2 linked regions of the Oryctolagus cuniculus genome follow. The protein of the gene in region 2 purifies or fractionates together with the protein of the main gene of each other region. This does not show direct contact. Links are inferred from orthologs where the notes say so. Each region holds a gene or a part of one and is shown on either strand. Other genes may lie near its edges.

Region 1 (3,815 bases), on a different chromosome or scaffold from region 2:
GCATGTGGATGGATTTTGAAAGACCCAGGAGCATGCCTGCTTTTGCTATGGCCTGCTCAGGGAGCAGGAGCAGCAGGCATCCTACCAGGTGCCTGCCATGGGCGTGGCTCCTGCTCCCCCTCCACCAGTTGCAGGGCAGTGCTGTCTCTGAACCTTTCCTTCTCTAAAGCTCTGGCAGGCCACAGGCAGCTGCCTTCTGGAGCAGGGCAGAGGTGGCAGATGGACACGCTGCCTGCAGTCCCCGGGTTCTCTACTGCACGCCTATGAGGGCTTGGGCATGAATCTTCATTCACAGATGATGCTCCTCTGTCTTCCTAGTGCCTTTAACACTGAAACTTTCAAGTTGTTGCCAACATCCTCTGTTATCTCTGCTTTAAGTTTGGTTTCCTTGTAGCTTCTGCTTATGCAAGAACCAGGAACCATGAAGGCTGAGCCCTTTGTCTGCAGCCTGGTCCTTTGAAATAGTAAGGCAAGCAACTTGTCCTTTGTCTGCATGCTAAGAATAGTTCTCTGTGGTCTGCAGGCTCTCGAGACCAGCCCGCAGGACCCAGAGCACCCAAGTGTCTGTCAAAGCAAGTAGGGAGCCATGGGAGAAGGATGCAGCTTGCTTTCCTAGTCTCTGTGGACCAGGTGTGAACTCCGCTGCGTTCCCTTATGCTGCCCTCAGGCCTGCTTTTGCTGTCAGTCCAGTTTAGAACTGCTCCTGTCCTTCAATCCAAGCTCTGCCACTAACAAGCTGTGTGCCTGACCCAGTCTCCTTATTTCTCTGGCTCTTAACTCTTTCTTTTCATTTATGAAGTAGGTACACTGGACCAGTTTAGCCAGGAGGTATCTAGTCTTAGCTCTTAGCTGGGTAAAGGGCTTCAGGGCAGCCAGTGGAGAGGGAGAAGCCCAGGCTCTCCCCTCAGCAAGAAGGGCTCACCTGCTGCTACCTGGAGGACCCAGAGCCATTCCCTGCTGCTAACCTCTCCCTACCAGAGCCCCAGCGTTGTCCAGGCTGATGGTGACACTGGGAAAGAGGAGGGAGTGCTTGATGGGAAGGAGGTGTCCTAGGCAGGGACACTTGTGATAAGTCCCAACAAATGAGAGCAGTTTCCCCCAGATAGCTCCCTGACTGGCCAGTTTGGTGCCCATGATGCCATAGCAGGGCAAGGGGTGCTGATGAGGGGAGTGGGAGCACACAGCCTTGCTGGCATGCTCAGTCACAGGAGCTTTATTTGGCCCAGATGGCTGTGGATGGGCAGGGTTGCTGGAGCCTTCTAGATGACCTTTAATCTAAAACCCAGCATCTCAGCACTGTATTTTGCCAGAAAATCCAAGGATGTTTTGAGTACGGCTCTTCCTCGAGGCCATTTGGAGAGTGTTTGGACTCAACAGTGCCAAGACCTGCACAGAGGCAGAGCCTCCTGGCAGGGGGTTGGGGGTGGAGTAGGGACACTGTCTATAGTTGGTCACTGTCCTCCAGGCCCTTGTTCGATCTAAGAGATGGAAAAGGAACTCTATCTAGTGTCTTTTGCAAAACAAGTTAGGGGTGGCAGCCAGGAGACACCAGGGCTTCTGCTATTGGGCACATCTCTGTACAGCTGCACCCTCTAGCTGTTGGAAGAGGAACTGCAGACATGGCCTCCCTCACCTGTAGCTGGCTTCCCCTCTGACTGCTGTAGCAGGAAAGAGTTCTTGAAGGATCAGGGAGGAGAGGAGGAAGAGAACCTTCTTCAAGGAAGTGGGTCCTGTCTTTGCCACATCAGCTTCACAGGCCAGCATGGAGTGGGTAGGGTCTGGGCTCTGAAAGAGGAGGGAAAACCATGGTCCTGGAAGGCTGATGGTGGAAAAGCAGCTCCCCTTGGCTTTTCCATTCCTCCTGGTTCCCCTGCAGCAGTGCAGGGGCCGGCAGAGACAGTCGCATGCGGGAACCAGGCAGCGCAGCAGCAGAAGCCTTGCGCTGCATCTGTTGCGTCCTCCTTGGCACCTATGAGGGCTTGACACGTGCTCTAAGCATGGGAGTGGGGAGGGCAGTGGTGACTGTGGGGCCCCAGTTCTCTGAAGGAACTCTGGCTCTTTGGATCTTTTCAAGCAGGAGCGAGTTGACAAAGGCATCGAGACAGACGGCTCTAACCTGAGTGGTGTCAGCGCCAAGTGTGCCTGGGATGACCTGAGCCGGCCCCCCGAGGATGATGAGGACAGCCGGAGCATCTGCATCGGCACACAGCCCCGGAGGCTCTCTGGCAAAGGTGGGGCCATGGCCCGGCCCCGCTCCTCCCCTTTTCCCTCTCCAGGATGAGTCTTTAACGAAAACAGCCTGTTCAATAGTTTCTTTACTGGCCTGAGTTAAGCAGCAAGTAAAGTCTTCCAGCAGGGTGGAATTAAGGGAGCTTTATTGGCCCATTTATAGCTCTTTCCTGCGTGTGTTGCAAATACACCACCAGCAGGGACCATTGTGTTTTACCTTCAGGTCTTGCGATCTAGGGTCACGGATGTGAGTGGAAGCATTAGAACAGTTACAGGAAAAGCCCATAGTCCACCCAAGTACAAGAGAACAAGCACGGCCACCCACAGAATTGACACAGGGCCCAGTTCTGGCCTGAAGACCATGCCAGCCCTGGCGATCAATCATGTGAGGCCCACTTGCAAATGACCCCCCGTCGCACTGTCCTGTAGTTACAGAGTAAGGGGCTGTGGGTGGGGCACCCTGTACCTCTTGAGTTTGCATGAGATTTTGGGAAGGAAGATGAGTGTCCTGTTGGAAGCTCCCTGTGCTGGTCTCAACTGCAGAAACAGTTGTGGCTTTTAGCAGAGGGTATCCCAATATCCCAAGCCAACTCCAAAGGCAAAGCAGCTATTTTGTGTACGTGTGTGTCTGGCTTCTTGGTCTACTTCCTTTCTCTGTTTTTTTTTTTTTTTTTCTGATTTTTTTGAAGAAAAAGATCCCTTCAGCCTTGAATAGCACCTGCCTATGTGCTAACACTTGTGAAAGGTTTTCTCTTTCTGAAAAGGACAACTTAAACCCCTAGTGCAAATATTTGACCATGTTTAATCCCTTTCTTTCCTTCCTGTGTACCACATCTGTGGGAGATTCAGAAAGAGAGCACCCAGTTACCAGAATCATTCTGTTGCTTTTGACAAAAGAGGAAACTTAAGGAGGGATCTATAATATTATCTCAGAATTTAATTGTTCTTGACTAGGTTTTAAAAATTATAAAGGTAACCCATGCCACTGTAGCCAAAAAGAAGCTTGTAACCATCCCCTCCCCACTCTGAGCATGGCCCTTTGAGCACCTGATGTCAGTTTGCTGTGTTGTATGTGTTTACAGTTTGCAGAGTAAGTCTTAGATCAAAATCTGGATGCAGGGGAAAAGATTAGTACACTTTGCCCCAAAGACCACAAAACACCTTACAAGAAATAATCCCACCAAGGGACTCCTTTCTCACCCTAGCTAGCTCATGGGAGGCCCAGTTGCCTGGGACAGACCAAGGAAGGGATATGACCTCAGCATTCCATGACCCCGGCCCTAGAGGAAAGGGCAGCAGGGCCAAACCTTAGGGGACCCCCAAGAACCCAACTGGGAGCCAGGCACCTCCTCCTGGTCTCCGATGTGGGTGTAAGGCTCAAGCACTTGGGCCATCCTCCACTGCCTTCCCGGGCCACAGCAGTGTGCTGCAGAGCAGAGAGCTGGGCTGGAAGAGGAGCAACTGGGACAGAATCCGGCCCCCCAACTGGGACTAGAACCCGGGGTGCTGGCGCCGCAAGTGGAGGATTAGCCTAGTGAGCTGCGGCACCGGCGCCACTTGTCTTCCACGAGAATGGCAGTCCGCAG
Region 2 (3,815 bases):
AAATTAATCAGCACATCCTTCACCACACAGTTATCATTTTGTATGTGAGAGAGAGAGAAACAGGTGGGGGGGAGATAAAGAGGTGAGCACACAAACTGCTTTTACACTGTGTCACATATACAACAATCCTATTGAAGGAGTAGATCATTATTATGCTCTCCACTGAATAATAAAATAAGTTAAACCACAGAATGGTTAACTGTCTTGCAAATGGTTTCAATATTAGCAAACAAGAGAAAAACTAGAATCCAAGTGTTCCAACACCACTATACCATATTTGTCTTGTATAATGAACACATGTTTAGGGGCCAGCATTGTAGTGCAGCAGGTTATACCACCACTTGTAACACCAGGATGCCATATCAGAGCCGGCTCCAGTCCTGGCTGCTCTGCCACTACCAATCCATCTACCCACTAATGTGTCTGGGAAGGCAGTAGAAAATGGCCCAAATTAGGGCCCATGTCACACACATGGGAGTTTCAGATGGAGTTTCAGGCTTCTGGCCCAACCCCAGCTATTGTGGCCATTTGGTGAGTGAACCAGCAGATAGAAGATCTCTCTCTTATCTCTCTATCATTCTGCCTTTCAAATAAATACAAAAAATGTAGAAAACCACATTCATATCCATATTTGTTTCTAAGAAATAGATTCAAAAATGAAAAATCCTTCAAATGCTCTTAAGCATCAGTATGTCCATGGCCTATAAGGTTCAGACCCTATATGTATCTTCCAGTGATGTGTCAAAGATAAATGGAAACAGAAGAAGGATACTGTAAGATACCTGAAAAATCATGTCAGGTACATTCCACCTATTACTATTATCCTGGAGTTGTTACTTAAAAAGATATCTGTGGTGATCTACTCAAACTACTAACTGCAATCTGCCCACCCAGCAAAATAGTCACATGGTGATGTGACACCCTATCAGTCAGGGAACTCTTAGAATCTAAAAGCCACATCTTCTTGATCTCAACAGCCTAAGCATTTGGTACAGTGGTTGTACCATATTAATACAGACAATACTCTTTATTCAAGAATGAAGGAATGTGAAGAATACAAAACATCATCAGAGAACACCTTACCTTGCCCTCTTCTTGATCCTCCAAGGAAAATTCCATCAATTCATCTGAAATCTCTTCTGCCCTATCTTCTACTGCTTCTGGATTTTTATCCAATTTTGGAAATAGAGTAATGGGACTGCCCAAATAATTCATCTCACTTTCCACCAAGTCTCCATTGTCCTGCCAAGTATATGAAAAACATTAAAAACTCTTCAAGATCCTGACCTTACACTGTATACAAAAATTAACACAAAATATATCAGAGGCTTAAGTGTAAGAGCTAAAACACTAAACCTCTTAGAAGAAAACACAGATGGAAAAGTTTAATGACATTGGATTTGGGAATGACTTCCTGGATCCGACACCAAAACTTGGTGTTCAGCAAAATGAAAAACTTGTGTGCATCAAAGGACACTGGTGGGGATGGCATTATCATAGAGTGGGTTAAGCTGCCAACTGCAAAACAAGCATCTCATAATATAGGCATCAGTTTGAGTCCCAGCTGCTCCATTTCTGATCCAGTTCCCTGCTAATGTGCCTGGGAAAGCAGCAGCAGATGTCCCAAATGCTTAGGCACCTGCCAGCCACATGAGACCAGATGAAGTTTTAGGATCCTGGCTTCGGCCTAACTTCAGCCTGGTCCAGCCATTAAGACCATGTGGAGAGTGAAGCAGAAGATTTAAGATCTTTCTATTTCTCTCTCTCTCTTTCTCTGTAAATCTGCCTTTCAAATAAATCTTTAAAAAAAAAAAAAACATACTAATACAATTGAGAACGTGAAAAGACAACATAGAAAATGGAAGAAAACATTTGCAAATTATAGATCCAACTAGGGCTTAATATCAAAATATTATCTCAGAGCTGAACAATAAAAAAAAAATACCCCAAACAGGACTCAGACATTTTCCCAAGGAAGATACACAATGGTCAAGAAAGCACATCATAAATGCTAATTGTATATTGATCATAGCAGCTCAACATAAATAATCATTTGTGAAATGCAAATCAAAATTACAATGAGATAAGATTCCAAACCAACCAGGATAGCTATTAGGACATTTCAAAAATTTGTAGGGGAATGGAATTAAGTTTATTCTGGTACAAAAAAATTTTAAATCCATGCAGTTTTTTCATTATAGGCATTTTTATGAACTTTCTGAAATACAGAGAGACACAGGCTCCCATCTGCTTCCCAAATGCCTGCAATAGCCAGAGCTCAATACAGGTCTCCCATGTGGATGGCAGGAATCCAATTACTTGAGCCATCATTGTTCCCCACAAGGGTGTGCATTAGCAAGAAGTTGGAATAAGAAGTGAAACTGGTACTCAAATCCAGGCACTACAATTTGAGAGGCAGGTACACCAAATGGCATCGTAACTGCTCCAACAAACCCCCACCTCTCCTTAAATTTAAACAAATGAAAAGGTCAGAGGACACATGGCTTCTCTCTTTCACTGTTTAAACTTTACTTCTCCCATCCCTTTTCTCATCCAAGTCATCTGAGGAAAAAAAAAAGGTCATAAACCCCACAACTGCCATCCCATAGCTCCTATTACCTAAATAAACCCTTAAGCATGATGTTCAGAGACTCACCAGCAAAGAAAGGGGCGACACATAAGGCCCCCTTGGTCTCTTTTGAAACCTCAGGTTCCTGGGTGCCTGCCACTGGGAAGGCTTCAAAGTGTTGCGTGCCTACATAAAGAAAATGCATTGGCAGGAGGAAGAGATGTACTAGTGGGCCCTGCCAAAAACATTTCATCTGATCACACCATGAATAATCTTCATGAAGCACATTAAATGTAATCAAGGCTGACCCTATATCCTGAAGATTGAAATTATGGTTTGAGTTTGATGTGTGGCACAGATTTACTGTGGCGGATACTAATCTGACGATCACAAGCAAAATGAATGGGGGGATTGGGGAAGAAGCCTGCCTGGGGAGAGGATGGTGAGATTTTTAAAGAGTGATTATAAAGGGAGATTAGAAAGGTAGTACAAAATCAAGAAAAAGCTGATTAGAATAGCCAGAAACATGGCATATCTTAGTCAACGGAAGAAAAGAACAGCATCTATCTTTTATGCATACTGACCTGGGGGAAGGGAAGCAGGAAAGAAAAAAAGATGGCTAGAAAAAGGGATTAGTTGAAGGGATTAGGTAGAGAATTATCTTCATGATTAGGGGGCTCTGGAGAGGCCAGTTTCAACTTGGAACTGAAGGATGTCCTAAGGCTTAGACAGGGAAGGCCATGGCTTCCTTAGGATGGGGGCTCATAAGCTAGACTAAGGGGAAAATAAGAAGAAATCAAGAAATCTACATTTGTATATAAAGCTATGTAAAGAATCTCTGAACAGATTATATAACTTAAACTATCCCTTTAAAAGAAAAACAAATTCCCAGTTCTTTACATTACAGTAACAGCCATTTTTGTTCTCACAGCAAATGAATATGAGTAATGATGATAACTTCCTATGGGGGACTTTGAGCTAGGTTTCTCTTCTAGGACCAAACCTCAATGAGAAAGAAAAAAAAAAAAAAACTAAATGTTTCCCTGTACTGATTCAGTTGGCTTATCTAGCATATGAACTGCTCCACATCTCACAATGATACCAATGAGTTGCTTCACTCAAAGAAATGCTAATGCATTTAGGTTTCCATTAAACACTCACATTTTCTTGATTTGTAGATGAGGTACACACTGCATCTTTCTTTCTGCGGCCATGGCCCAAAGCATTTGGAGTGCTACAAAGAAGC

The links.
Region 1: the proteins of CDC25C (region 2) and SUFU purify together in Homo sapiens (affinity purification with mass spectrometry; 4 studies listed by BioGRID and IntAct, counting the BioPlex papers as one, with this or other methods). This does not show direct contact. The link is inferred for Oryctolagus cuniculus from reciprocal best matches to the Homo sapiens genes CDC25C and SUFU.

What each region holds. Positions count from the first base shown.
Region 1 is NC_091446.1:27,383,236-27,387,050, reverse strand, and holds part of SUFU (suppressor of fused homolog), read left to right. Parts: intron 1-2,074; coding exon 2,075-2,231; intron 2,232-3,815. UniProt on the Homo sapiens protein: Negative regulator in the hedgehog/smoothened signaling pathway. Down-regulates GLI1-mediated transactivation of target genes. Down-regulates GLI2-mediated transactivation of target genes. Part of a corepressor complex that acts on DNA-bound GLI1.
Region 2 is NC_091437.1:26,122,287-26,126,101, forward strand, and holds part of CDC25C (M-phase inducer phosphatase 3), read right to left. Parts: coding exon 3,731-3,815; intron 2,756-3,730; coding exon 2,657-2,755; intron 1,243-2,656; coding exon 1,084-1,242; intron 1-1,083. UniProt on the Homo sapiens protein: Functions as a dosage-dependent inducer in mitotic control. Tyrosine protein phosphatase required for progression of the cell cycle. When phosphorylated, highly effective in activating G2 cells into prophase.